Struthio camelus: one gene and its partners. The protein of the gene in region 1 interacts with the protein of each later gene in a pairwise test. Links are inferred from orthologs where the notes say so. Each region holds a gene or a part of one and is shown in the gene's direction. Other genes may lie near its edges. The genes, in order: AGTRAP, ECPAS, tyrosine-protein phosphatase non-receptor type 9 and PDHX.

What was found.
Region 2: the proteins of AGTRAP (region 1) and ECPAS interact in binary tests that used the Homo sapiens proteins (3 or more experiments, as listed by UniProt). The two-hybrid records come from large-scale screens. The link is inferred for Struthio camelus from reciprocal best matches to the Homo sapiens genes AGTRAP and ECPAS.
Region 3: the proteins of AGTRAP (region 1) and tyrosine-protein phosphatase non-receptor type 9 interact in binary tests that used the Homo sapiens proteins (3 or more experiments, as listed by UniProt). The two-hybrid records come from large-scale screens. The link is inferred for Struthio camelus from reciprocal best matches to the Homo sapiens genes AGTRAP and PTPN9.
Region 4: the proteins of AGTRAP (region 1) and PDHX interact in binary tests that used the Homo sapiens proteins (3 or more experiments, as listed by UniProt). The two-hybrid records come from large-scale screens. The link is inferred for Struthio camelus from reciprocal best matches to the Homo sapiens genes AGTRAP and PDHX.

Annotation. Positions count from the first base shown.
Region 1 is NC_090962.1:6,801,480-6,809,422, forward strand, and holds the start of AGTRAP (type-1 angiotensin II receptor-associated protein), read left to right. Parts: upstream 1-4,935; 5' UTR 4,936-5,048; coding exon 5,049-5,075; intron 5,076-7,943. UniProt on the Homo sapiens protein: Appears to be a negative regulator of type-1 angiotensin II receptor-mediated signaling by regulating receptor internalization as well as mechanism of receptor desensitization such as phosphorylation.
Region 2 is NC_090982.1:17,228,119-17,235,009, forward strand, and holds the start of ECPAS (proteasome adapter and scaffold protein ECM29), read left to right. Parts: upstream 1-3,875; 5' UTR 3,876-3,999; coding exon 4,000-4,027; intron 4,028-6,891. UniProt on the Homo sapiens protein: Adapter/scaffolding protein that binds to the 26S proteasome, motor proteins and other compartment specific proteins. May couple the proteasome to different compartments including endosome, endoplasmic reticulum and centrosome.
Region 3 is NC_090953.1:23,095,375-23,103,055, forward strand, and holds the start of tyrosine-protein phosphatase non-receptor type 9, read left to right. Parts: upstream 1-4,672; 5' UTR 4,673-4,715; coding exon 4,716-4,873; intron 4,874-5,133; coding exon 5,134-5,290; intron 5,291-5,634; exon of another isoform or gene 5,635-6,173; coding exon 6,174-6,278; intron 6,279-6,628; coding exon 6,629-6,725; intron 6,726-7,405; coding exon 7,406-7,503; intron 7,504-7,681. Other genes in the region: SNX33 (sorting nexin-33), read right to left, coding at 174-1,611. UniProt on the Homo sapiens protein: Protein-tyrosine phosphatase that could participate in the transfer of hydrophobic ligands or in functions of the Golgi apparatus.
Region 4 is NC_090946.1:34,125,984-34,133,189, forward strand, and holds the start of PDHX (pyruvate dehydrogenase protein X component, mitochondrial), read left to right. Parts: upstream 1-4,193; 5' UTR 4,194-4,225; coding exon 4,226-4,367; intron 4,368-4,438; exon of another isoform or gene 4,439-4,652; intron 4,653-6,807; exon of another isoform or gene 6,808-7,002; intron 7,003-7,206. Other genes in the region: APIP (methylthioribulose-1-phosphate dehydratase), read right to left, coding at 3,717-3,749.

The DNA of each region.
Region 1 (7,943 bases):
CACTTGCAGAGTGATACTATCACTGGGTTGCATTTAGCAACTTTACCCTTCCTTCCCACTATCTCCCAGTTGCAGTGCAGTCAGTGACAGATAGTTCTGCCTTTAGAGGCCTTAGCTCTGAATAAGAGAGAGGGAGATCAATGTCATGCAAGTCCTGATTTGTATGTTCTTCTCAAATGATTGTTGGAGAAACTCTCATGAAATTAAGCATCCACACAAGCTCAGCTTCTCTGCTGTCCCCAGAGAGCTTAATCCAGAGCTTTTGCAAGGTTTTCTATTGTCTTGAAAGGACTTTGGATCAGGCCCAAACCAGCTACAGCAGGGCTCTGTGGAATAATTCTGAGAGTTAATTACAGGGCATGCACATAAGTAAGGTGAGTGACCGAGCCCCACCCAAACTCCTGCTCTGGAGTCACTGCTGTTAGCAGCCTCACAATAAATCCAAAGGGCATGCATCGTTCTGAGCCACTTCTCCAAGGGTGAGAGTCATTAGACATGGAAACGAGAGGACAGCGTGCTGATTTGACATAATTATCTCAGCAGCTGCCTGCTCTGTGAATGCAGCTGAATCTCAGGAATATTGCTGGCAGTTGCCAAAATGATGAGTGCAAGCAAGATAAGGAGGGGAAGCACAAATTAAAACACTTGGGAATCACTCTGTCTCAGGTCTGTAATAGTCTGCATTCATTTTAGCTTGGGGGTTGTCTTACTGAAACTGTCTCTCCTCCCCCCCCCCCCAGCTAATTACCCTGTTGTCAATCCACAGTGTGGAGAAGTGCTTCAGTTTCAAACCCATGCTATAATAAATTGTTCCAGTCCATGCCAGTCAGAGTTTCTACTGCATAAAGCCTGGAGAAAACATTGCTGTTCATGTGTTTTATCAGAAACAACGAGGGCTGTTGTTTTCTTGGAATGTTCTGAGTGATCACATGCACCCCTAAAACCCATTTCTGCTATCTCAATTCATTTTCTAGAGCGCCAGCAAATCTTGAAAAGTAGTCCCTCAATTACCTCTCAAAGCTCTAGTTAGATTTTAGAAAATCAGAAGAGCAGCTCTTCCCTGATGATATCAGAAAAGACTTTCATGTTTGTCAAGATCACACCTTAGTGTAACCCTCCCCACTCCTCAAATCATCTTGCCATAGACTGTTCTGCAGTGAAGCTGCAGGAGGAGGTTCCCCACCAGCATTACAAAATGCCTTCACTTTCCCCTCCAGTCCTAATGATAATGTTTCTGCTTGCTGATTTCCCACTGGGATCTCAGAGAGAGTTTGCAGAGCCAGGACAACTTCTGTATGTCCTTCCTCGCTTCTTATTCAGAAAGGCTCTATAGATAATACACGCATTTGTGCAGGGCGAGTGCCTTCATTGCTCTCAGCTCTCGAGACAAGGGCACAACTCAAAGATACCAGTGTCATCGGCAGTCTTCAGTTACCTTCAGATTAGAGCCTGAGTGAGGGACAAGAAGGGCAGAACTATGAGGGGTGAGCTTGTCTCAATCTCCACAGGCCAGATAGGGACAGCAGGGGCAACTGTATCAGCTCTGCTGCTGCCCTACAGAACTGCTGTAACTTTGTACATCAAAACTACAGTGTCCTGAAGACACAAAGGAAAGCACTTCTGCCTTCTTTGCCTCCTTTTTATGCTGTCACGAAGGGAGCCAGCTGTGTAATAGGTTTTTACCCACCCTGCAGAAGGCATATCACCAATATACTTGACGAACCAGCTATACAATGGATATTATATTAGTTGTACTCAGCTGAACTCACTTGACAAGTCTGCTACTCAGGAAAATCTCCATATCGTCTTTCCAGTCTCCTGGGTCATCTATTTCTCGCTGCAGGTCTTCTTCTTTATCTCGCTGCTTGTCTTTCGCACCATATTTATGTTGCTCTGAATTATCAAGCCTAGGGAAGGGAAAGAGGCAGCAGATTACACAGACAGACAATTTACAAGGTACAAGCAAAGCAAAGCAGAGATAAAAAACAATAAATCCCCCCGATCAGATAGGTGTGAGAGACGTGCAAATGCATAATGTCTGTCACAGTTCTCATTGTTTTCATATCCATGAGATCATGAAGACACTTCTGAGTCCCTCGAGTCCACGACATGCAAGCCCAGGATATAATAAGCAGGGCTGAATTAATTGCACAATACATTGATGAACAAAATGAAGTAAAGTGCTTTTATTGTACAAGGGGAAACGAATGCTTTGCATTAAACAGCAGTCACATCAATCCAAATTATGGCTCGCGCTGTATAAATGATAATGAGACTCTCTGTCTCACTCAGACTGAGTGAACACGTTGAAAGGAGCAAAGACGCCCACTTACTGCTGCATCTAAACAGTGCTTATACTTAAACTAGGCTGCAGCATGACAGTGGAATTTGTCTTTATAACAACATTATTCCTTTGCTAGATACCTGTCCTGGTGGAAGGGCATTCCTATTGCTGTTTTCACCCAAGCATTGAGGCAGCAATAAGGCTATTCAAAGTCTCTCTTTATCTTTTTTTTAGGTGCCACAACTTCTTTTTGCCATTTAGGGTAAAATACAGTCCTTGGCATCACTGGGAGCATTATTATTGATCCCATTTGACACCACTACTTCTGTGAGTGGAGGCAGGGCTTCCCTGCAAGGTACAGAAATGGAAAGAAAGTCACAGCTATTGGGGGATGTGGCAATAGATGAATTATTTTTCAGTCTTTCATCTGGTAAAGTGGTACAACTAGAGATTTTGGGTGCACTTTTACAGCTTTTTTTTCCTGCTGTTTAGCTGCTATGCAGCTAATCAGTTCTCTTCTGGCACTTCTGGTTACCATTTTCTGAGTTGATTCAGTTTGCCATTTAGTACTTTGTCTTGGGAAATCTCAGTGTGCTGTGTATTAGCAGTCAATGGGACTCAGTATGCAGTGAAGGACAGCCTGGATAGAGCTACATTCGTGCTTTGCCTGATGAACTGTGAACACAGGTTCAGCATTGCATCACTCATATGCATAATCTTGCACTGCACTGCTTGAACTAGAAATGGGATTGAACGATGATTCACATATTCAGCCTCTGCAATGAACTTCTGACTCCTTGCTCATTCCTCAGTGGCCCCATCTTTTCTGCTAGAATAAATAATGAGCACACCTGAATGACGACAAGAAAGCACCTGATCCAGTAATGCATTGTGGATGGACACGGCAGACAGGTAAAGTATACACTGGGCAAGGAAGGCAGGGTTTGAAAAGGAGTCAGCCCGGCTTCTTGGTGTTATTAGTTCCTTTGTCATACCTGGGGAAAAGAATGGTACTATGAACTGGGCAGGAATTCTAAAATGGGAATAGTCTTCTTTCAGAATGACAATGGAAGAATGCCTGTTTTGTACGAGGCAGCTCTCCCTTATTGGGATCAGAAAGGACTTTCAAGCGTGTCTGTCAAGAGCACACCTTAGTGTAATCCTCCCCACTCCCCAAATCCTCTTGGCATAGACTGTTCTGCTTTGAAGTTGCAGGAGGAGGAAATTGCATTAGGAAAGAATTCAGTGATCTAGTTCTAGGGAAAAATCAAAAGGGCCAAGGGATGCAACTAAGTATCTGCTAGCCATTCTAGCCACAGGGCTAGAGACTCAAGCACTCAACCCCAAAGGACAATCAAATTGAGTTGAACATGGCTGCTTTGTTGTATGATACAGCTGAGTGCAACAAACATCTTGCAATTTTTTTTTTGGTGGTGGTAGTGTTTAAGACCTCTTTTCCACTCCCCACACTTACTGTCTTTTGGTCACACTACTGATGTGTGCACAAGAGCTTTCTTTTCCTCCAGAAAGCTGCTAAGCACTAAATACACTTTAGCCTTTTGGGACCCTGACTACAGCCCAAATATGCTGTTACACCTTCCCACAGCTGCACTGCTTCTGTAAGTAGCAAGAGCTGTTTGCTTGGATGTTTGGCGTTAACAAACAAAGTGATCCCATTACCCTTCTAACCTAGTGATGGCTTTTTCTCCTCGGTGTTGCAGGTGCTGTGCAATACGTATCAGATAGCAGCAAATAAATTTAATGAAATAGGATGTCCTGGGAAAACGTCCCTGTTTTCTACTGTTTCGATTGTCCTAGATTCCTTAAGGTATGAGCACCACGGACTTTCCCTGACTACTAGTGTTAACAGCAGTACAGTTTTACATGTGAAAAGCCTGCAGAGTCATAGTGTCCCTGGAATACTTAAGTATGCCCTTTGCCACACATTCTGCTGAGATGAGAGCATCTGATGTATTTATTAAATGCCTTCATGATTAATGAAACTTGCTGTCTCTTTACTGGAAATGTCCTGGTTTTGCCGAGTCTCAGGCTAATTCAGTTAAGGCTCCTGCTCCTCAGACACCTTCCTCAAACTGCATGACAGCTCTGAGGTGAGGTGAAGCAGTCAGGAGAAACTGGACATTTTAAACTCCTATGGACACTACAGCATAGCCCAAATGCATATTCATGTTTGGCTTGCAAGTGAAGGTGGCCTACTCTGGAAGCTTTTCGGGCAACATCAATAACAGACAATGCACAAAGCAGGGCATGGAAACATCACTGCTGTCCTTGGAGTGCCCTGCAGGGCCCAGTCCCGCTCTCACACCACATCTTCACTTTCAAACCCAAACTTTTATTACTGCTAAAGGGCTGTCGCACCAGATAGCGCTGGGGATGGCAGTATCTCAGCTGAGGGTGTGCAAGGGGCGACTGAGAGGTCCCATTTCGCTGGCCGGGGCAGAGGGCACAGTTCATGGCAGGGCCTCGGCCTGCCATCCTCCTGACGTGAGGAAGGGCCGCCAGGGCCCAGGGAGCCCCCCGCAGGGGAAGTCTAGAGGGCCTGCAGTGGGCCTGGGGTCGGCCGGATGCTGACGGACGCCCCCGTCGGGCGAGGCGAGGCGAGGCGCCGTCCCGGCTCCTCCCGCCCCTCTGCCCTCCCCTGGGCGGCCCGAGACCAGCCCGTGGCGGCGGCGGGGCCCGGCCCAGCCCCACGTGAGGCGGCCCCGCCGCTGGGAGTCACGGGGCGAGCGGGCGGGCCGCTGCCATGGAGCTGCCTGCTGTCAGCCTCAAGGTAGGGGTCGCGGGGGCGTTGGGCAGAGCCAGTGCCGGCTGCCCCCCGCGGGGCAGGGTCGCCCCGGCCGAGGGGCGGTCTGCCCGCGCCGCGTCCCGCGTCTCCGAGCCCTGCACGCCCGGGAGGTGCCCAGGGCGGGCCGAGGGCCGGCGGAGGGCTCCGCAGTGAGGAGCGGGGAGGGCTGCGAGGGTCTCGGTTGAAGTCCTCGAATGGGAGGACTAGGGAGCTGGTTGGCGTCCCCGGAGAGCGGGCCATGGCCCGGCCTGCCTGGCCGATGGCCAGCTTTGTGCCCGCTTCAGGCTCGGTCAGGAGAAGTGGAAGTCTCCGTGTGGAGGAATAACTGGTACTTCTAAATCTTTTTCATCACCAGGGTAAACGTTGCAAAAACTCTTAGTCATTAAGACTGTCAGGCAGTGACCCCAAGGTTCACTTTTGCTTCAGGGCAGTTTGCTAAAGTGGCCAAGGACTGGGTTGGGACGACAACAACTGAACTAACTTGTGTCCACAGAGGTTCCTAGCTCAGCTGACCGGGGTTAATCTAGGATAAACACTACACAAGATCCTGAGGAGGCAAAGCTTTTGCTTGTCAGGCAAGATATCTTGGAAAGATGATCCCATTTGCTTCGGGGTTATCCTCTGGTAGATAACTGAAATTGCTTTTCTGGTTTCTTTTGGGGGGCAGGGAACGGAGGTAATTTGAATTTTTCACTGGATATCTGTTAACCAAAGGCATGGAAAATAAGGGACTTCTCAAAGGTATATTAGACTTTTCACTTTGGCAAGAAGTACATCCTTATCCATAAGCTAGGGGAGGCGAAAATCTTTTTTTTTTGCTTTTCATGTTGCTGTTTGAAATTGAAGCCTTCCCTGATACCACTCAGAAGAAAATTTCCTCCTTTTTTTCCTCCTTCTACCATATTTTCAGAGCTCTGAGACTTCTAGATGTGTACGTGCCTTTTTCCAGGTTCCCTAGTTTACATGTGTTGCTTGGTGCGGCAAGTTTCAGGGGCTTTCTTTGGTTATAACTTTGACCAAACGAAGACTGAAAGCATTGCTGATCTCATCTGTGGGGTTTTTTTTTTTTTCTTTTCTTTTTTTTCTGCTATTGATTCATAAAGCTGTGAGCAGTGGCCTTGGAGCTGGCTGCCTACAGGTGGGGAGAGCAGTACTGTCTCAGCTACCCTTAAGAATTCAACTTTGTATAACAAGACTTTAATGTGGCTGTTCAAAATGAAAGTTTGGAGTTCATATATTCATGGCTTTACACTCTTACTAGGTCACCAAGAAAAGCAATTTTCCTGGGGCAAGTAAGCAAATGGATTTTTCAAGGCTTGGCATGTAGATTATATTGCATTCTGGAAACCAACTGATATTTTGCTCTGGGAAATTTGGACTATTGGGTGATTCCCTGGGCACTAGGAAGATTAAAAGATCTTGTTTTCTGCTTTGTTTATAACTTGTTTCAGTTTTTTTTTTTTCTATGCTAAAACAACAGTGAAAAGCAAGGACATCTAATTAAAAGGTTTACCAATGAAATAAATGATTCACCACGGGAGACAGAGACACGGGAGCTGAAATACAGACATACTTCTTGAATGAAGGAGCCACCATGACAACATAACCAAAATGTTGCTTTTCCTCTGGTTTCATATAACCAGTCCCAAATCTCTTCCTAGATAAGAGCAAACTTGTCCTGGGCAAATGGTTTTCAGCATTAAGCAATTCCTTGTTTTAAAGTCTGCTGGTACTGGTCTGAGGGCTAGGGAGTAGTGGGTTAATAATTGTACCTGCATCTTTGTCTTGTCCCTGAGTTGGGGGCTGCTTCTCTGAAACAGATCGCCAAGATGGGGAAGGGCCTTATTCAGAAAGGGACTGAAAACAACACACACCACTGCTATTCATCAGAATGATCTGCTTAGAGTTTCTGAGAGATTAGAAAGATAAGCCTCATGATAGAAGTAGCTCCAAGAAAACGGTATGACTGAGCTGTGTTTGTGCCAGAACACAGCAATGTCTTAGCCTTAAGGCCTCTCTTCAGGCTACACGCAGAACTAAAAAATTGATGTAGCAGGCTTTTTCCTGGAGCAGATGAGGAACATTCTCATGGAAGAACATCTACTGGCTCAGCTCGCGTAGTAATAGTCAGCAAACTCAGAAGTTAGCTTTGCTTGTCATCTAGGTCAGCCTCCTGCTCCAAGCAAAGCTAACTTCTGAGTTAGATCAAATTGCTCAACTCAAAATTTAGCTCAGTTTTAAACATCTCCAAGGACAGAGCCTCTACAACTTCCCTGGATAGCCTGTTCCAGTGCCTAACCACTCTCATTATGAATTTTATCCTTGTATCCAGCTGAAATTTCCCTTGCTGTAACTGCTTTTTTTTTTGCCTCTTGTTCTTTCTTTGGGCATCTCTAAGAAGAATCTGGCTCAGTGTGCTCAACAAACATCCTTCAGGTTGTGGTTAGTCTGGGTATGAAACTGTGCACTATGGGATAATAATGAGAGGACCTAAGGAGTTCACTCACAAGTGGCCACTCGGATCTATTTTTGGGTTAGTGCATCCTCAGATGAATGTAAGCAATTCATAGAGTAGATGAGCTCACTTGCAAGAAAGAGGCAGATAATAAAAGAAAAGAATTGTCATTTGGAATCATGGCATTTTAATTTGGGCAAAATTCAACCTTATGCTTGAAGGTTCTGTGCTGAGGCATGTTTGAAAGAGGGAGGTCCCATTCCAAAGAATTTCCCATCCAACCGGAACCAGACAGACCAAGTGTCTTTTATGCTTGCCAATTAGTTCCATCACATGCTGGGATTTGTGGAGGAGCCAGGAATTCCCTTCAGCTCTCCTCAGTTTCCAATGGGATGCTT
Region 2 (6,891 bases), on another chromosome or scaffold:
CAGTCAGCATTAAAAAAAGTGGCAAATAGGCACTGCACTTTCTGCTGTAAGTTATACTCCAGAGATATCCTGTTTTAGAGACTTGTCAATACATTCCTTAAAGTGATTAAATTTGGTACTGATCAGGTCTGAAGAAGATGGTGTGTGTTGGTCACGCCCTTTCTCCCTCAGTCCTAGGCTTCAGGTAACAGCAGCCCCAAAACTTATATTTAAAGTGGCTTAGGATACAGATTTATTTCTTTGGAGAATATAATACTTCAGCAATAACAACTGTATCCCCAAAAAAGAGAACGGGCAGGGGGAGAGGGGAGAGATTCCTAAATGTTTGCTTGCAGTCTGTCTTAACCCGTAGCTACCTAAGAATCAGAGGCAGATGCCTGAGAAGGTGTGCTCATGTGGCCATCCCCAGCAGTCATTCCTGGGCAGCAGTGGCTCTGTGGTCTCAATGTGCAGTTCAAACAGATGATCACAGAGTGGGGTCCAAGGAAGCTGCAGCTGCAGAGGTGGGTGGCAGGGTTCACTGATGATGGAGTTGTGCCATGTTGCAGGCAGGGCTGTGCCTTGTGGACACTTTCCATAGTACGTAGGTCAAATGATGACTTTCACTCACTCGTCCAGGAGGTCAGTAGTTCCTGGGGAGGGAAAAAGAAGACTTAGGTCTTGGATCATAGCCAAGCCTCGGTAATGATTAATTTCACTTCCAAAGTGTCTATAGTTTCCCATGCTCCTTTCCCTTAAAGGTGTTGTAAAGTAGCCCAGCAATTTCTGAATGATGGCTGTTGAATTCTCACCCGATCTCACCTGAGCTGTCCAAGGCACTCGGATGGTGTTGATTCAATGCAGAGGACTATTCAAAACGTTTGTATACCAGACTACCACTAGGTGTATGGTGAGAGTTTAAGGCTCTCATGGCCTCCCACAAGTTTTATCGTCAATTGGTAGCACTGTTAAACCCACGTGAGTTGTTCTTTAAGTAACCTGTTCTATCCTGCTACTTACTATACTATTAATTTAAGGGACTGTGGAGTAAATGGAAAGTCCACTTAACTCCATGCTTGAGAGACCATTCTTGTACTATTTAAAATGCAACCCATTATCTGACTCTGTGGCATTGGGTGCATAGCAAACCGCCAGTTTCATCCTACTATAGCCACCAATCTGGATGCAGTGTGCGTGTAGGTAAACATTGCCCGAACTGCTCACTACTTTAACACTCATCATAATAAGTTTCCACCCCTTGGAGATACATATCACAGGTCCAATGCAGTCTATTTGTCAAGTACCCCAAATGACTTTTTCTTCCCTAAGGTTTGCTTGTTGTTGACTTTGGACAAGATAATCCTTCATTTCATTACCAAATCCACAAGTTTTCACTGTATGAATTGTTTGTTGCTTAGTAATCAGCCAGCCCCACCTTGCTGCATGCTGACAGAGGTTATATGCTCCCGTGTGTCCCAGCTGTGCACACAGCCATTTACCTCACCATTCAGTTCTCAAGGTAGAAGGAAAACCTGCTGCATTTAAGTGGGCAGCCATATTGTTCAGTTTGGCCAGCAGAGTGCAATTTTTCTGGTGTGCTGCTACACACCCTATAATCGTAGAACACGAGTTAGTGACACTATGTATTTGTTCCCAATATTCCCTTCCCCAACCATCTCAAAGACCTTTCTGCTAACTGCGTTTTGCCCAAATTGCTAGCCATTGTGTTGCACCAGCCCAAACAGCAAAAGAATCAGTGTGTATAGTGTGTGCGCTATTTCTGAGAGCCAGCACCACAGCGGAGAGCTCAGCTAACTCAGCAGAACCTTCTGTTTGCTCAGTCACTGTTCACTTATTGGCATATAGCGTCAGCCATTCCTTGCCATTTACCCTGCATTTTGCAAGTGCTTCCATCAGTGAAGCAGACACTATCTGGTCAAAGGGGGTTGAATTCATGGGCATCCAAGATAGGAGAGCGTGGCGGCTCTGTGTATTCAATGGGCATTCCTTGGAACTGGGAGGACCTTGTTGCCGTAGTCCCCACCAATATCCTTTCTCCACTTGGATATGTAATAGGAGGGGCCACATGGGGGTGGATGGGTCCCAATGATGGAGATACACTTAACGTTTTCCTTAAAAAGTCCATAGCCATGTCCGTGTTGTGGGATCCGTATTGCATTTTTCTTTACTCAGTTATAGAGTGGTTGGGCTATTATACTAAATCACAGAACATGCACCCTTGAAATTCCTGAAGTCGCTAGTAACTCTCCTCCTTATTCTCAGGGATGGTAACTGTTGGATTTCTTGCAGCGCTTCAGTGTGGACTGTTCTTCTCCCACCTATCCTTCTGACTCCTAAAAAGGTGCCTTCCTGATTGAGACTGTGCTTCTTTCCTTTCAGCACCTCTTCCCCAAAGATGTGTTTGTAACAGTGTCCATGGCCTGTTTTACAGATTCTGCAGCATGGCCACTTGTTAGGACATCATCTATATATTGTACGACACTGACATCTTGTGGCAATTTTCATGTTTCTCGTGGCTAGTTCTTTAGCCAATATCGTGTGAGCTATGGGTAGGATATGTTTAAAACCTCGCAGTAAGTGAGTAAATGTATATTGAAGTCTGTGGCAAGTGAAAGCACATTTCTATCTGCCTCTGGTATTATGATAATAAAAAAATCATATATTTCACATCTAGAGTCACTACCCATGGAGAAGCTCTGCTCTGCTCCCCGCAGGGCTGTGCCATGCTGCGGCACCTTTCTGGTGCAGCACAGCAAGGCTGCAGGCAGGTCTATGCCACAAGCCCAGCAAGCAGGGGTCCGTTGTGGAAAGGACTGTGCTGTGTTTCAGGTTGAGCTGTGCCACACATCTGGCAAGGCAGGGTTGTGCCCCACTGCAGCCAGGGCTGTGCCACCCTGCAGGCTGTGCCACACGCCTGGCAAGGCTGTGCCACGCTACAGGGCTGAGCCATGCTGCAGGCCTGGCTGTGCCCCGCTGCAGGGCCGTGTCTCCCTGCAGGGCTGTACCCCCCTGCAGGGCCGTGCCCCCCTGCAGGGCCAGGTCTTGCTGCAGGGCCGTGTCCCCCTGCAGGGCCGTGTTCCCCTGCATGGCCGTGCCCCACTGCAGAGCCATATCCCGCTGCAGGGCCGTGCCCCCCTGCAAGGCCGTGCCCCTCTGCAGGGCCATGTCCCCCTGCACGGCCCTGTCCCCCTGCAGGGCCATGCCCCCCTGCAGGGCCGTGCCCCCCTGCACGGCCGCGCCCCACTGCAGGGCCGTGTCCCCCTGCACGACCGTGTCCCCCTGCAGGGCCATGCCCCCCTGCAGGGCCGTGTCCCCCTGCACGGCTGTGCCCCACTTAATGGCCGTGTCCCCCTGCAGGGCTGTGCCCCCATGCAGGGCCGTGTCCTGCTGCACGGCCGTGTCCCCCTGCAGGGCCGTGCCCCACTTAATGGCCGTGTCCCCCTGCAGGGCCGTGCCCCTCTGCAGGGCTGTGGCCGCCCCCCGGCCCCTGCCATGCGGTGGGCAGGGCCGCGCAGGCTGCCGGCTCTGAGCGCAGCGCAGCGCAGCGGCCGGGCCGTGCTGAGGCTGCTGGGAGCCGCTCCCGCAGACGGGGGGGGGCAGAGTCAGCCGCGCTGCTTCGCTCAGCCCTCTTCCTCCTCCTCCTCCAGCTCCTTCGTGAGCGCCGCGGAGCAGCGCCGGGGCCGTCATGGAGGTCAGCATGGACTCGGGTCAGTGCTCTCGGCGCGGCCCGGGCGCGACGGGGGCCAGGGCGGGCGGGGGCCGCCGCCCCGAGCGGAGCGGAGCTGGCGGGCGGGCGGGAGCGGGCGGCGGCGGCGGCGGCGGCGGCCGGGGCCCCCGCGGCCCCTCGTGGTGGTTGGCGCCGGGGAGTCACAGGAGGGAGGAGGAGGAGGAGGGAGCGCGGCCCGGGGCCTCCCCCCGCAGCGGCCCGTCGGCGGCCGCTCAGCGGCCCTTCCTCCTCCCGCGGCCGCCGCCTGCTGCCTGCCTGCCCCGCCGGGCAACATGGCTGCGGCGGCCCAGGACGAGCTCAGTGAGTGGCGGCCGCCCGCGGCCGTTGGCGGCGCCGCTGGGGGCGCGGCGGCTGCTTGGGGGGGGGGGGGGTCGGGGCGTCATGTCGGCTGTGACCCCCCCCCACCTCGTCTCCCGCCGCCGGGACGGGTGCGGGCGCTGGGTCGCCCTTCGGGGCTGCTCGGCCGCCTGGGGCCGGGAGGGGCGGCGGACGGGCCTGCGGAGGAGTGGCGTGTGGCGTTTTCAAGAGCTGTTTTTTGCTCTGGCTGCCTCTCCTGTCACGTAGCAGAGCTGGTTTTTCGATGAGGGCGCGGGGTTGCGGGTGGGAGGGGGGGATTGCATAGTTAGGGGATGCACGAGGCAGCCGAGCGAAGGGACCTGTGGCGGTTTTGAAGGAGCGGGTTTGGCAGCTGAGCGCAGCGTTATCCCTTCGGGCCTTCACCTCCGGCGACCGTTTTGAGCGTGTGTCAGCCCCCAGGCGTTGCTGCGCGGCGCGCAGCCTGCTGCTGCTGTTTTCTGCTGACGTCCCCCAGGGTGACGCGCTTGTTCTGCTCTTCGGGTCAGGTGTGACAGGAGCTCGGGTGCGGGCACGCTGGGGCGGGGGGGAAGGATGTCCCTTGTCACACCAGAAACACAGCGTCTCGAGGCGGGATGACCTACCTCGGTCCTTAAATCTGAGGACGCAAATCCCAAGCTGTTTATTCCGCTGCCAACTGGGATACGCTGCAGTCGTGACCACGACAGGGCCTCAGGCCTGCTGCGATCCAGGAAACTCTCCTGTCGCTTTCTCGAAGCGGACGTGTTTCCACTGGGTGAAACCGGTCCTCGACGTTTATCTGTGTGGCGTCTAGCTTCCCAGCCTCCACATCTGACGTGGCGAAAAATCAGCTCTCAACCATGTCTCTCTTGCTGTATAGCCGTTTATGTTAAACTGCTCCGAAGGGAAGAATGACCGGAGGTTGAGATTCCTGTTGAATTATTGAGTACATCATCCTGGTTAGCTGTCCGCTGTGTCTATACACGCTGTATGCAGCCATACTTCAGATCAGAGGAGTTTTTATTCAAATGGTTAGGAAAAAAGAAATTTTTTTTTTTGAAGGGAGAGGAAAGCTTTTTCCTAGCGCTGCCTCTGTCAATGAGTGGAAGGTTCTGTAACTTCAGGTAATAATTAAAGCTAATGGAAAAAGTAGTTCAGGTAAAGGAGTGCATGACTGAACAACTTCCATGTGGACCTACTGTCCTTTGTTTGATAACTGTTAAATAATCAAATTGTATCATATTTTAAAATAAGCTTGATCCTCTTTAGGATGAGGCGTATTGCCAAAATAACAATAATAATTATTACTAATTTTAAATTGGAACACTAGTTTTCCCTTTTTTTTTTTTTTATGTGTACGTTGCTATAGGAAGCTTTGGTCTGTAGCTCCAGTCAAAAAGATAAGCTTTTTGCTGTCTGCTTAAACTCCCTATGAGGATGCTTACCGCTTAGAGGAAAACTTATTTGAAAGCACTGTAAAATTGAAGGTTTGGCAGCTTAGAAGAGAATGCTAGTTCAGCAGATTTGCCCTAAAGCTTTAAGAGTTCAGATGCAAAGGAATGGAAAGTAATCTTCAGTGGGTGTAGTCAGCCATTTGAATGGAGATCCTAAATCTGACATACTGTGAAAAGTTTCGATTTCAGTATGCTGCTCAAACTTTTATATTAGCTTTTGTGTAAAATGGGAGAACAGGATAAAGGAAGAAGAGGATGAAAAAAGAAAAATACTTCTCCCCCACCAGGCTTCCCCCTCAGATCTTGCAGAATAACCTGATGATTAGCCTTCTTCTGTAAAGGCTCCCTTAAATGATTTGCATATAGGCACATAATGAATTACTAGTAGAACCAGGGATATCACCAGCAAATCTTAACTCCCTGTCTGCTGCTGCAGTCGTACTAGATAGAGTTTATCCCAAAGTCTAATAACTTTTGAACAAGAATTTAACTCCTATTTTAGTAGTGGGCCAATAAATAAAAGTCAATTTGATTTCCTAACTTTATCCTTTCTTCTGCAACCGGAACAGAGCAGAAAAAATTGCTTAGCTCAGGAGGGACTGAAATCTATATTTGAGCTTTTGCTTTAATGCGTATCCTGTCGTCCAGGTGGTGAAGCTGAAACACTGCTGTATCCAGTACTCTTTGTTTGGTATAGGATCTGCTGGAGAAAGTGTTGGGGCTGCTAGGGCAAAATGATGGTTCTTTGCACACGATTGGAGAGGGTTAGGGAAAGGGGTTGGTTGGTTGTTTTTATGAAGCGGACTTCTGGAAATAGTTTAATGTAGCAGTCCTGCAATTCTTCTGTCAAATAGAATTTAGTTTCCAGGGGAACTGAAAATAAATTCCCATTGCATGCACTGAATTTTGCTGTCCCACCCTCTGCTGTGTTTTACTAAGGGCTCAGAGTCCCTCTAGAGTTCTTAGAATATTCCCGTGTCAATTATTTAAATTATGAGATACAGTTAGCGTGCCATGTCCCACCCTCATAGTTCTTGAGTCTGTTTGCATAAAAAGAAAGGTGAATTTTATATGTGGTACTCAATTACACAAATGAGCATTGCTGAGAGGTCAGTGCAGAATGACTGACATGCTACGCAGAACATCTATAAATGGCATAGGGAGCTAAATCTTTATCCTGCGTAAAGGTGGAGAGAAGGAGCTGTACACACGAAATGGAACTGAACTCAGCTGAACTGAGAGCAGATTTTTTTTTTTTTTGGATAAAGAGAAGGAAAAACAGTGAGCTATCTACCTTAGTAAAGCCAGGCATTGAAAGAATTCATTTCCCTGATTTTAATCAAAAAAATTGATTAAAGGAATCAGGGGGGAGGGAAGCAGGTGGGGAAACTCCCT
Region 3 (7,681 bases), on another chromosome or scaffold:
GGGCTGCGGTCCCCGTCCTCCTCCCCGCGCTGCTCCCACCCGCAGCCCCCTCGACTGCCTGGGGCCATCGCAGGGGGCAGGGGCCGTGGAGCCGCCCCCAGCAAGCACCAGGCTGGGGCCGACCCTCCGAGGGAGACGGACGCGCTCCCCGGAGAGCGTGGCAGCCCTCTTACCTTTCTGGAGGTGGATGATGTCCGGGAAGTTGGAGAGGAGCCCCTGGTACAAAGAGAGAGTGTCCAGCATGAGGAACAGGTCGTTCTTGGGCTGCTCAGCAAACATCTCCCCCACGGTCTCGTACGTCTTGCCCGTGTGGGAGATGGCGTTGTTGAGGGCGTCTGAGCTGTACGGGGGGTCCATGTGGAAGGAGTAGCTGATGGCTTGGAAAGCATTGCCGAGCTTCTGGAACTCCTTGCGGAAACCCCCCACGTGCTTGCGCACCAGCTCCGAGGCCACGTTGGTCAGCTGCAGGACGCTGTCGTCCATCTTCTTGCTGAAAGCCTTGAAGGCATCCACACGGTCCTCCACGTCCTGCAGGTCCTGGTGCTCCGTGGGGATCTGGAGGGTGAGCAGGAAGCTGGCCCCCACCATCTCGTCCTTCTCTGCCCGCCGTTTGCCCAGCTTCCACTGCTTCTCATCGCGGCAGCAGAGGAAGTGCTGGAAGCCCTCATACTGGGAGAGGACGGGGTGGCTGGTCATGTGGTCCATCCACAAGATCAGCCGCCGTTTGCGCTTCTCAATGAAGTCCTCCTCAAAGCGGCCGGTGGCCTGCTTCTCAGGCAGGTGGGGCACCGAGATCACCGTGAACTTGTGCAGGAGGCGGTTGTACAGCCAGTCAAAGTGCTTGTACCGCCGGTAGACGGGAGAGTTGATGTTGCTGGGGGTCAGCTTGTAGGAGATGTAGCTCTTGATGCCTTTGAATTTGGTTTGCTTGGTTGGGTCCTCCACGGAGCAGATGAAGGGGTGGGGATTCGCCCGCCACTGGGGGCCTTTGGAGCCCATCTCAATGCAGTACACCTCTGCGATCTTGGACATCAGAGGCACATCGCCCAGGATGAAGGCTTCCACCCCAGAGCGGACGAAGCAGGAGAAGCGGTTGAGGTTCCTCCCCACCACGCTGCCCCTCTTGGAGGAGCTCATGCTGTCCTGCCTCTCCAGCGCCGGCTTGGGGCGGTAGCCGGCGTGCTGGTGCGAGTAAGCCGTGGGGTACTGCAGCGTGGGCGAAGGGTGCCCATTGGTGCCTGGAGTGCTCCGAGGCTCCTCCACCACTGTGCAGGCATCATCCCAGTCATCCCAGTCGTCGTCATCGTCGTCCTCAAAACTGCCCTGGTAGGAGACACTGGGGTTGGTCGGAGCCACGTAGAAGGAGGAGTCGTGCCCAGGGGAGCCGGCGGGGCTGTGAGAATAGTCCGTATAATTGGAGCCTGACCTGGACCGGAGGATTTCGACATAGGAGGCAGGGAAGAGGCCTGTCTCTCCGCGGCTGTTTTTACCCTGTAACCACCCATCCAGGGAGTTCTCGCTGAAGATCACGAGCTCCTCGTTCTCCTGGATGCTGATTTCCTCTTTGTTTTCGCTCTGGAAATTGTAAAGTGCTCTGGCTTTCAACGCCATGGCCGTTCCCAGGGGGACGGTGTAACTCAATCCCCGCAGCAAAAAAACAACAACAACAAAAAAAACAATAAACCAACAACAATACCTCCAGATAGTCCAAGGGTCGCTGCTAGACCCAGCCGTCACGCACTTCAGTGGCTTGGGACCTGCTACCGAGCTGTGGGAAAAGGCTTAGCCGATTTCACACAGAAATAAAAAAGATATAAATCCTCTAACATCTGACACCAAGGTCTGTACATTCAAGTAACTCCAGCGATCTAAGTGCACCAATTTAAGAAAACATTCCTTGGGCAACCAAAAAACATGTTTCGTTCCACTCCCTCCTTCTACGTGATATAAACCTCGGCCGGACAAACAGACATCCCGAAGTCTGCCATTTCCCCGGAGCTTTTATCTTGCTGGGTCGTTGGTCCCGCCGCCGTCTTGGTTTTAACTTACGTTAAGAAAAGATCTTGATCCAAATTAGGAAATCCAAAGTGACTTTCACAGGACTCTTCTTCGAGATCCGTGTTTAAAATACACAAATTCACTTCCCAGCGAGGAAATCCAGCGCAGCTCGGAGTCAGCGGGCGCCTGGAAATCGCCGGGAAGCAAACCCAAACACAACACAACCTCCCGGTGATCCCAGCACAAGTATTTTGCAATTCCTTTCCGGGAGGCCTTTTTTTTTTTTTTTTCTCACGAAATCCGCAGACCTCTAGTGGGACGGACGGACGGACGGACGGACGGACGGGCGGGCGGGCGGGCGCAGAAGGAAAAGGGGGAGCAGCGAGCCCAGCCCGGCCGGGGCAGCTGGCGGCGCCGGTCCCGCCGCCGCCGCGGTCTCCGCCGCCCGGTGCCCGGTGCGCGCTGCGCGGCCGCTGCGGAGCGGGGACGGCGGGCCGCGGGGCCGCCCTCAGCGCATGGCCGGGCACGGGCTCCCGGGGCCCCGCCGCCGCCGCCGCCGCCGCCGCCGCCGCCGCCGCCGCCGCCGCCGCCGCCGCCGCCCGGGCTGCGCTGCCGCTGCCCGGTGTCGGTGCCGCTTCTGCTGCCGCTGCCCGTCGCCCGCTGCCGCTGCCGGTGCCGGTGCCGGGCTCGCCGCAGCCCGCCGTGCCGTGCGGCAGCGCCCAGCTCCCCGGTTTGCGGCCCGGCGGCGGCGGGCAGGGCCCGGCAGGTCGCACGCTGCCCTCTGCAGGCGCCGGCCCGGCGGGGCCCCGCCGCCGCCGCCCCCGCCGCCGCCGCCGCCGCCGCCGCCCCGGCCTCCCCGGCCCGGCGCCCCCGGCCCGCATGGCCCCGACGTCCCCGCCCCCGGGGTCCCGGTGCCCCTGTCCCACATGTCCCCAACATCCCGTCCCCGGGGTCCCAGCACCCCTCTCCCAGATATCCCCAACGTCCCTGCCTTGGGGTCCCAGTGCCCCTGGCCCGCATGTCCTGCATGTCCCTGCCCCGGGGTCCTGGTGCCCCTGGCCCACATGTCCCTAACGTCCTTGCCCCCAGGGTCCCAGCACCCCTGTCCCACATGTCCCCAATGTCCCCGTCCCCGGGGTCCCAGCACCCCTGTCCCACATGTCCCCAACGTCCCCGTCCCCGGGGTCCCAGCACCCCTGTCCCAGATATCCCCAACGTCCCTGCCTTGGGGTCCCAGTGCCCCTGGCCTGCATGTCCTGCATGTCCCTGCCCCGGGGTCCTGGTGCCCCTGTCCCACATGTCCCCAACGTCCCTGCCCCGGGGTCCTGGTGCCCCTGTCCCACATGTCCCCAACGTCCCTGCCCCCGGGGTCCTGGCGCCCCTGTCCCGCATGTCCCCAACATCCCCGCCCCCGGGGTCCTGGTGCCCCTGTCCCGCATGTCCCCAACATCCCCACCCCCGGGGTCCCAGCACCCCTGTCCCACATGTCCCCAACATCCCCACCCCCGGGGTCCCAGCACCCCTGTCCCGCATGTCCCCAACGTCCCCGCCCCCGGGGTCCTGGCGCCCCTGTCCCGCATGTCCCCAATGTCCCTGCCGTTTCCCAGCGCCATCGTCCTCCCCTTCCCACTTTGCAGGCAGCCTTCCCCATCCGCACCCGCGGGGGGTGTCTGCCGTGGGGCGCTGGGCCTGCCCCCCACTCGTCCTTGTGCCATGGGCTGCCCGGCACTGCCTGCTTCCCAGAGCCACCGTCCCACGCCCGACCGGAGGGCCCGCGGGGGCACTGGCGGTGGTGGCTGCCCCGAAGGCACCCAGGGGGCACCCACAGCACGTCCCCCCCCGGGCCAGGGCCAGGGCCCGGGGGCAGGTAGCGTGTCATGGGGCAGGCAGGGCGCTAAGGGACGGCGCTACGGGGCAGTGCTGTGGGGCAGAGCTTTGGGGCCAGCGGGGTGTCAAGGGGTAGTGCTAGGGGGCAGGCAGGGTGCTATGGGGTGATGTTATGGGGCCGGCAAGGTGCTGTGGGGGGATGGCGGCACGATGGGCAGTTCTGTGGGGCCAACAGAGCGATGTGGGGCTGACGACTGCGCTGTGGGGCAGGCAGGGCCCCGTGGGGCCGGCGGGGGCCGAGGGCAGCGCTGTGGGGTCGGCGGGGCTCCGTGGGGCCGGCGGGGGCCGCGGGCAGCGCTGTGGGGCCGGCGGGGCTCCGTGGGGCTGGCGGGGGCCGCGGGCGGCGCTGTGGGGCAGGCAAAGCCCCATGGGGCAGGCAGAGAGAGGCCATAGGCAGCACTGTGGGGCAGGCAGGGCCCTGTGGGGCCGGCGGGGCCCCGTGGGGCTGGCGGGGGCCGCGGGCGGCGCTGTGGGGCGGGCGGGGCCCCGTGGGGCAGGCAGAGAGAGGCCATAGGCAGCACTGTGGGGCAGGCAGGGCCCCGTGGGGCCGGCGGGGCCCCGTGGGGCCGCGGGCGGCGCTGCGCGTATGATGATGGCGGCGCTGGGGCTGATGGCGGAGCCGGCAGGGGGCGGGGCGGGGCCGGCAGGGGGCGGGGCCGGCAGGGGGCGGGGCGGGGCTGTGCGCGCCCCCGCGCGGCCTGACCCGCCACATCCTGCCCGGTGCCGCCTGTCCCTCGGCGGGCGGCGGCGCGGCCGGAAGTGCGTCAGGCGCGCGGGCGGAAGGGGCGGGCGGCGGCGCGGGCAGTGCGCGTGCGCGGGCCGGCGTTGCCATGGAGGAGCTGAGCGAGGCGCTGGCGGCCCGCGTCGCCGTCTCGGCGGCGCCCAACAGCCCGGCGGCGCCGCACCCCCGCTTCGCCGCCTACAAGGCCCGCGGCCGCGGCCTGGGGCAGGCCGAGCGCCGCCAGCGCCTCCTCCGCCTCCAGCGAGCGTAAGGGCCCGCCGGGGCCGCGCCGCGGGCAGGGGGGCGGCCGGGCCGGGCCTGGGCCGCGGCCGGGCGGCGGGGGCGAGCCCGTCCCTCCGTCCGTCCGTCCCGCGGCTCACGGGGGCGGGGGGCGGTTGCGGGGACTGCGCCTCCTCCCGCCCTCCCTAGCGGCGGAGGGGTAGCCAGCCCCTAAGGAGCGCGGAGGGGCAGGGAAGTGCCCGGCCGCCTGCCGCGGAGGCAAAGCAGGACTGTTTTCTCCTCGGCAGGAGGCGGCTCGACTACGTGAACCATGCCAGGAGGCTGGCAGAGGATGACTGGGCAGGAGTCGAGAGCGAGGAGGAAGAGGAGGCGGAGGAAGGTGCGAATGAGGAGGAGATGGAGGTGGATGTTCCTCGGAAGCTGCCCAAGCGCTATGCCAATCAGGTGAGGAGCTGTCCCCATCCCTGTGACAGGGTGGGGATGGGGCTGCGGTGCTGAGCAAGGTGACGAACGTGGCGAGGTTAACGTTGTGGGGGGTCGCGGTGAATATATTCCTGTCTGGCGTGCTCTAGGTGATGGGTGTGTTGGGGCTGAGAGCAGTGTGTCCTAGCTGGGTGCTCAGTGCAGAACCACTACTCATCTCTCTTTCCTCTGAGACGTGCTGTCTTCAAATGGAGGACAGGCTGAGATGGATTGGCTGGGTTCCTTGCGAGATTTCAGCTCTGCTAGAGACACTTATGTCCCACTGTGCAATACTTGATTAAAGATTCTATCTCTCCTCCCATCAGGTACAGCTGGAGAGGAAGGGAAACCTCAACTGATGGGTGTTTTTAGCCTTGGCACTATATTGGTTCTAAAAGACCTACAGCCTCCCAGGTGATCATAGCCAGGAAATCTCAGGGGTCTGAAGAGGCTCACTTGTCTAGTCCCTTTACTCCTTTATTTAGCAATCTCTAAGGTCTGCTGCATATTTAAAATAATAATTAAAAAACAACAACAACAACAAAGGGCTGAAGCGAGGCTGGAAAAGGGATTAAGGTACTGGGATGCAAAAGTGAGTACTGTGGGTCTTGTGCTGTACTCTGAATTTCAGCTGGCAGCTGGGAAGTAAGAGAAAGGCTTGGGGGAAGAGTTTGTTTTGCAGGTTGGTTAGAAGGAGCCATGCTCCTATGGTGCTGTATTGCAGGGTGATGAGCAATACACATTGCCTCTGTGGCACCCAGTATAAACCAAGTCAAAACCTTCTTGCTTTGTTCTTGAGCTGTGAGTTTTCCATAACTTCAGGAGAGCTGTTACTAACTGCCTTTTTGGGGGGGTTTCTCCTCAGCTGATGCTGTCTGAGTGGCTGGTAGATGTCCCTTTGGATCTGGAGCAAGAGTGGGTTGTAGTGGTGTGCCCCACAGGGAGAAGGGCACTGGTTGTGGCATCCAAGGTAAGAGAGAGCAGTGGTGAAGTCTCACCACCTGGTAAAGGACCTGTATGTGTCTGTTACGTCATCATGCCAACATGACATGAAACCAAAGGCTGGCCTGTGTGTCTTGCCTGCCTTGTGCTGTGGGAGCCGTGTGGGGCTGAAACTCTCCTTGAACTGAAAGAATTTGGGCGCTGAGAGATGTGGTAGTAACAGAGCCGTATCTAATGGTGAGTACTGCTCTCCTCTGACAGGCTGCTTGGAGGTGGTTGTAACGGAGACCTGGGTTTCAAAGCCTTGGGTGCAGTCAGACGTGTGGCATGAGAGCAGGGAGACTGGCCTTGACTTTTCTCTCTCCCACTTCCTTGCAGGGCTCAACAGCAGCTTACACCAAGAGTGGCTTCTGTGTCAACAGGTTCCCGTCCCTGCTGCCGGGTGGGAACCGGCACAATTCGCTAAATGAGAAAGGTAATGATCTGAAGAGGCCATTGAAATAGATGAAGGAGAACAAGCCTGCTTCTCCGTGTGTGTGTGTGTGTCTGCCTGCATGACAGGCTCAGTGCTGCTCCTCCAGCTCCCGCAGGCCCAGCAGAGCTGTACCCTTTTCTGGTGCCAGGGATTATTAGCTTCAGCCCTGTTCGTGAATCTGTGGGGATAACTAGACATGGACGATCTCGGACACCTTTATGCTACACAAGAACAACTTTTTATCAGCTGCCTGCTCACCTGATGCTCTTAAACCTCAGCATCTTCCTCCCTTTTAAGTACCAGAGCTGTGTACAGTATCTTTCCAGTGACCCCTTGGTGCTGATGTTTCTCAAGTTAAAGGGTGTAGCTTTTCTTGCTAAGAAGGAGGATGGCCTTTCTCAATATCCCATACAGTTGCATTGCTTGCCCTGAGGAGGGTTTATCAATGGATAGGTGCCTTATTCTGAAATGTGCTTTTGATTGAAGTTCTTGAGCTTGCGGGGCTCTTAAAGCTAAGCTTTTTGTGGTCATGCCTTCTGTTCAGCAGAAGGGAGTCTCTGCCTGTCTCAGGCTTCCATCAGTGCTAGGGTTTAATGCAGGAGAGATTTGATCTAATTAAATTGCCTTTTGGGTTTGGTAGTATCTGGAGCGTGTCTGGATCTCCCTGTGTCTGTGTGCAGTTTACAGCATCTTGGACTGCATCTACAATGAGGCGCAGCAGACGTACTATATCCTGGATGTGATGTGCTGGAGAGGACACCCTGTTTACGACTGCCAGGTACTGAATCCCTCCCGTGTGCCCTGGTCTCTTTTTTGTCACCTGTTCTGTGAGCCGCTCTGCAGCCGGAGCTGGATGCAGCCCATTGTGCAGAAGGATGAATCTTTCATCTAAATGCCAGCATCTTTACAGCTTGTGGGCCAGCGGTTACTGGAATAACTGGGCAAACCTTTTGGGG
Region 4 (7,206 bases), on another chromosome or scaffold:
AATCAGCAATTACGCAGAACATAGTACCCCTCTTATATTGCTTTCATGAAAAGTTGCTGAATTTCTGCTTAGAAAAGCTAGTTTGGAAAAAACTCTTATGACATCAAATACAGTCCCCTACTATTGCAGACAACTCTCAAATAATTCTTTGTATATATGTATCAAGCCTGATCAATACTCCCATCTTCAGCTTAGAGTGTAGTACCATATTCTTCGGTGACACTTGTTTCTGAAGCTACTATCTCTGAAGAACTGACGTTCACTGCAGATGTTATTTCTAACTATTCTGATTTTGTTTCTACTCTTTAGGGTCTCTTTTAATAATACGAAATAATCACCTGTTGATTCATTCCAAAAGTCAGAAACAAGACTCTAAGCAGCATTCCTAGAAATCTATGCAAGAAGCTAGATTTTTAAAGCACCATAAACCTGTACTAATTCACATTACTTAAAACAAATGAAATGCTACACACAATAGTACATGAAAAAGAAAAAATCCAAAACAAAAAACAGGTGAAATAAACAGATTTCTAAATTCAGAGTGAAAACATTCTGAGCCTCCTCCCCATTCACACAGCTGAAAATGAAACCACTCCTTTTCAGTTCTCCTTCACTGAAGGAGTAATATTCTGGCTAGCTAAATGTTCCTCAAATACTAATGCCTCTGAAATGTACTGTGATTCTGAGAATATTAGTGCATGTATCTTATGTTTACAAATATGAAAAAGTGCATAGTGTGTGTAAATTATAGGTCCCCACTTTGTGGTTCAAATTTATTTATACAGAATTATTATTTTATAAATTTGCCTGCTATAAAAATTATGAATCCCACAATATCTTGTTTTGTCTTTTATTTAAAATAACATCACTGTGTATTTCTAACTTATGTACTACACTGATACTTTTCATTTCAAAGAAAATTATCTCCCTTCTACTTTTGATGGAATAAACTCATGTTAAATAGTTTTACATGGCTATTGTTTATTGAATGTATATAGATATGAAAAAGCTATATTATGACATTCCTCCAGTTCTTTCATATTTTCCCTCACTGGTGATTCTGGACAATAATTAATGCGAGAAGATGATTGCTTTTAATCACTTTAAAATCATTACAAAGGTTTTTTTTTACAGTTCAAATTCAGAAGCTGCTTTCATCAAAAGCATACAAAACCCACATATTATTAAGGAGTTCCAACTATTTTTATGAAGAATCCCAGGATTATAAATCAACCCTCAGTATTTAACAGTACTCTTCCAGGATCAGCAGATACTACTCATAACCACAACCTATTTATTTAACATGTTTTAAAATAACTAAAGAGGCTATTTCCTGGAATAGGCTTAGGAGCGAATACATATAAAAGCAGCTGGCAAATCAACAGGATTATTCTTTGCCAAATCTCAATTAGAAAATCAATTAAAAAATGAGTGCAAGTTAAAATGCAGATGCCATTGGTTTTCTCTCTCTTTATACCTCTAACTCAGGATCTGGCCCACTAGTTCTCTGATACAGCCAATATGAACAATTTAGCTGGCTTTTACGATTTTCATCTAATTTTTCCACATTAGGTATTAAGGAAAACTTCACAAATTTCCATGAGCTTAAAAAAAAAAAAAAAAAGACTGCTTTTTCCAGCTATCAAATTATTCTTCTGAAAAACAAGTTTGCTGATAAATTTCAAAAGAGTAACTGACTGAAAGCATTCACTTAAAATTCATATTTTTGGTGTCAAAGTCAAATCTTTTGATAAAATTATTATTGCTTTTTTACAGAAAGACTGTCATTATTCAAAGAAAACTGTTTTTCCCCTTTTTTATTCAAGTGCATACACCTAATACTACAAAACCTAAAATAACAGTAACAATACAGTGTGAAACTGATGTAATGGAAATCAAGGTGGACCCAGGCTATTTGCAGAATGAGCCCATTTGCAAGACTTTTAGAGATAGTTTTCAACAAGATATGAAACTGAACTACAATATAGTTGTACTGTTTAAGATATTATGGTAAATAAACAGTGCCTTTAAATACGTACCTCCCCTTCACAAAGTGCTTAGAAATACATTTTCTGAGAAATAAGCATAGACTACATAGATGAAATCATACAGTTCTTATTTCACACTAACCTGTGAGGTTTCTTTTGAATAGCTACACACTGAAAAGTTTGATGTGGTAAAAATGAATGGTTCTGCACTATATATTTGAAGTGAGAAAGGTACCATTAATAAGCTGGTAGATTACTATTTAAAATCTGTACATGGCACAGAAAGGGATGAAGTAACAAAAGCAGTAAAAATAATGATCCTTTAAGAACGTCTGTTTTCTGCAATGCCTTCAACACCATATAAAGATTTTACAATTCAGAAAGGACTTTTAAAGGTAAGAAAAAAAGAAATAATTGTAAGGGAGGGACAGGAAAACAGTGTGGTCAGGATTCCTACACCATGTAAAAGCCTCAGACTATAAACTTTCACAGCAAGTATAGACCTCCAATTGAAAATTATCACTTGTTGTGTGCCTTTTTTCCTTTAAAGTTTTATTTGTTACAGCAATTAAAACCTTTAATACTTTTTAAATATAACAAGTGATTAGCAGCTGTGCTGCTCAGCTTAGTCATTTGTATCCACGAAACGGTATTTCCTAGAGAAATATGTTGAGCAGCAGGATCCCACGTTAAGGGGGCACTCACAGAGTATGAAAAACAAAAGCAACAAATAGCTAGCAAATAACAAAACTGGTAAGAAGGTTATTACTGACTATCGATAGTCTTTCTGAAACATAAAGGAAAAAAATGCTGTTGTCATTCTTCTCTACCTCCCCCTCCCCGGGAACTTCACTGACTCTAAAGCTGAAGATTACCGAGCAGTTCTCGAGCGTCTAAAGTAAGAGCTTAAGACTTTAAAGGGGCGCTGGGATTTTGTGGCCCCTGAAGGATCGTTCTTCCTGGTCTTTGGAAGCCCAGCAGAGAGAGGCGAGCATTTAGGCCAGCCTCCCTGAAGGGGCGGACAGCTCGCATCCTGCCGCACCTGCTACGGAGGGCTGCTGGCTGCGCAGAAACGCTTCCCGTCGGTGCCGGACTCGCACACCCCAAAGCGAGGAGGCTGCGCCGGCCGGCTGGGAGCAGCAGCCAAGGGTGCGAAACGGTGCGGCGGTGCTGAGGAAGGGGACAGGGAAGGTGGAGTCACAGAGAGAACAGTCTGGCGCAGGTCTGAGAAGGTTTGGAAACTCCCATTGTAGCCTATTCAAAATAGGACAACGTCACCGTGACAGGCAGTGACGAACTCCTCAGACAATCCGTCTCACTGTCCTAAATTAGAATATTTTCCTATTGCCTAACCTAAACCTTGCTTGCTGACACTTCAGCTCGTTATCTCTTCTCCAAATAACTATGGACATAAAGAAGAGCTTCTTCCCTTTCCTCTCTGTGACAGTATTTCACCTACTGGGAAAATAACTCCACTTACTCCTCAGTTTCTGTTTTCTTTTCCTGACTGAACCGATCCTTTCGCTCTTTCCTAGCAAGCCGTGCTTTGATAATTCTCATGGCTAACGGCAAAGGCTGCAAAAACACTCTCAGCCACGGCGACCACCAACCGCTGCTCTGGAGCGCCCGCTGACCCGAGGGGGATGCGGCGGCAGCACGGCTCGGCGCGGCGGGGCCGGCAGGGCACCCGCCCCCCCCCACCAACGGCCGCGCCCGCCCTCTCGTTACCTGCGCGCTGTCGCGGCCGTTGGCGGCGGCCATAGCGCCCGCCTGGGGTCCTCTCTCGGGGCTTGCGCTGCGGGGCCGGGAGGCCGCGCGGGCGCCTGCCGAGCGCGTCCCTGCCGCTGCCCCTGGCTGCGGGGCACCGGCCGGCGCAGGCCGTAACGCGCGGCGTTCAGCCCGGCGGGGCTGACCGGGACGGAGAGGGTCTCGGCGCCTCGCCTCCAGGCGGGCGGCGGGGGAGAGGCCTGCGGGGGGGCGGGCGGCTGCGCGCAGCTGGGGCGCTAAGAGCGGTCAGGAGCCAGGCGGCGGGTGGCGGAGCGCTCGCGGCCGGCGCTGGTGGGGGGCAGCCCGGCTCGCCGCTGTGCCGGCCGCCAGGCGGGCCGGAGCGGGGCGCGCTTGCGAGCGCGTCCGGCCGAGGCGGGCCCGACCGGCCGCGCTTTCCGCTCAGGCAGCGAGTGGGGCAGCCCCGGCGGCGCAGGGGGGCCGGGCCGGGCCGGGCCGCGAAGGGAAGCAAGATGGCGGCCTCCTTGTGGCTGGGCGGTGGGGGAAGGGGGGTGATGCGGCTGCTGCTGGGCAGGCGGCCGGCTCTGGGCGCTGGCGCCTCTCGCCCCGCTCGAGGAGGCTGGAGGTTCCTGCACGGGACCTACGAGCTGCGGGGTGAGTGTCTGGGCTGGGCCCTGCGCCGTTGGCCTGCTGCAGGCCTGAGGGGGGAGGGTCGGTGGTGCTGGGGGGCCGGGGCTGCTGGAGGAGAGGGCCGCCTTCGGCAAAGAGGTGTAGGGCGGCAGGGCCGAGTGGGCCTGGTGGTGTAGTGAGCAGAGAAAACTAGCAGCGAAGTCCTGTTGGAAAAGAGGGAAGAGGCTGTGGAAATGGGATAGCTTGGCAGGGTGCTGCTTGGCCTAGCCTCTGGAGGTACAAGCACAAGGGCGTTTTGCTGATTATCTGGTAAGCGTTGCTCTGGTTTTTGATGAAAAAAATTGCTAGTTTTTCAACTATTACGGTTTTTTCCTGCTGTATAGCTCCCAAATTCTGTTTTTAGTGTTTTGCTCTCTGTCCCCAGCTTCATACTCTTCCTTCTTTGTCCTTCCTCTCCCAGAGGGTGAAGTTGAGTATAGAAGTCCCCCAAAAACATACCGTGCATGTTAAGGGGTCAAATTAGCATTTAACACTGAAATGCTATTTTGCTTCATTGTCAAAGCAGGCTTCTTGACACTAAGACCAGGTGAAGGCTGCCACACTCAGGTTCTCTGTTAGTTTGGTGGCCCAATCTAAAGGGTACCACCTTTGTAATCTGCTGGGAATAATTCCCTTCTTATTGGCAAAGTTAGGTTTATTGTCTGTTTCTACAGAATGCAAGCTTAGGTATTATTTTAAATAATTTATTTTCCAATTATCTTAGGAGCCCGGACAAATATTTCCATATGACATCTAGGACAACAGGATTAAAGACTATAGCATCTAGGCTTTAAAAAAAATTGAGTAATTTTTAGAAAAAGATACTACTTTTTTTACTCTAACTGATGTGAAAAATCATGTGGAAAAGGAGGACTTCATGTAATAGAAGAAGAAAAGAAAACATAAGAAATGGTCAATTTGGAAGAAGTTATAACTCATCAGTAATTTTGAAAGGAAGCAAGCAAGCAAACAAAAAGCAGAAACCCTGGTCAAATTACTAGGAGGAATAAAATCGAAAAGGTGACAGCACAGAATGATGTAATTCTTGTCTGGTAGATGCAGTAAAGAAATATTTTATAAATAAATTAGTACAAGAGAGAAGAGTTAGTTTGTTATACAAGGAAACGTACACAAGATCAAAGTCTTTCCTTTTTCAATTAAACCGTTACAAAAAGGTTACACCAATGCCCAAAACTATTGGTCGGTGCTAGACTAGGTGAAGGGAGAAGGTTATTCGGTTAAGTCAGATGTCATTTAGGCAGGTGAGTATTGTGTCAGATGGTAGTTGAGCAATTTTGAACGACAAAGCTGAAGCTGCTCTGTTCTTTTCCACTATCTTATAATAAAAGAAAGAAGGAATTATATGCAAGTCTTCTCCAGTGAAGAGAAGAATCTTTTCAGAGATTGCAGTTAACCAACGAACCAGACTTGTAAGCACTGAGAAGGCCTATCAAAACCTTTTTTTATCAGACCAGTCTGACAGCCTTTTGTACTGGGGCACCGCGTTGTCTGTTTGGGAAAGATTGATTTTTCATAGGGCTTTGGCATTGTCTCCTACATACTTCTCATAAACAGGCTATAGAAACATGGCCTCAAGGAGTCTCTGTAGGGTTGCTCAAAGTGGTTGGGAAGGCAAGGAATAATTATAGTTCACTGTAAAACTGGAAAGATGTATTGCATGAGGTCCATCAGGGACCTCATGTCTGGAATTGGGTTTTAATTGCCATTTTTGTTAGAAGCCTAAATAATGGAATGAATACTTCCCTTCCATTTGAGATGCATCTGAGATGGGAGAGATTGCAAATGTATTTTGAGGACAGGATTAGACTTTAAATTGATCATAGCAAATTAGGTAGAACAGCCTGAGAAAAGTAGTGTGCAAAGCATAGAAAGAAATGCCTGTTACAGGATAGGACATGACAGTCATAATGTTGCAAGGGAGATCTGGGTTTTACAGTAGATTGTAAATTAAGCACAAGCCTGTATCATCATCATGCTGCAAAAATTATATTGGGTTGGAAAAGCTAGGAGTGTCATGTAGGGGACATGTGGTAGTCTTCTTTCCACTCTACTTTGTACTCGGAATGCCTCAAACAAAATTTTTCCTCAGCTGCCTGTTTGGGAAGTATCCAAGAAAGATATGGGCTGCTTGGACAGAATTCAGACAGAGGAGCGAGAATTATGAGGGGTCAAGAAAATGTCATCAGTGAGGAAAAACTGAAGTAGTTGGAGTCCAGAGGGTAAAAAAGATTGATGGGAGAATAAATCTTCAAATGTAAAAAATATTCTGTTGAGGATAAGGCCAAGAAAAAAAAAAAGGATGTTTATGACTGAGAACAGTTGATTACTTTCTTAATTGTAAGTATAGTTAAGCACGTAAGTAGAAGGAGGCAGCCTAAATTAAGGGTTTTTTTTTTTTTTCCAGTGCTTGGAGATTCTCCATCATCTTTTTCTTCTACCAGTGATGCTTCAAGTAGTTGGAGAAGGATTCAGAGGCTTTATTTCATGTATTTTTTGCCTGTTTGTTTTAAATGGAGAAAAGGAATTTAAATTTATTCATTGCATGCTTAGAAAACTACATAGAAGTCAACCTATGGGGTCAGGGCAACATCCTTTCAAGGTACCATTTTTTATTCCCAGGAGTTTGTTTTTAGAAAATTGCTAGGCAGATCATCTCCTTGCATATTTTCCTCTCTCTCAAAGAGTTATGGGAAGAATTTTGGATGCCAGGTGAGATTTGAGCCTTTCTTCCCCAACTCCATTTGCTGTTACAACTTGTAAAACATTAAACAACATTCTGGTGCATTTCTTGAGGTACTGGTGT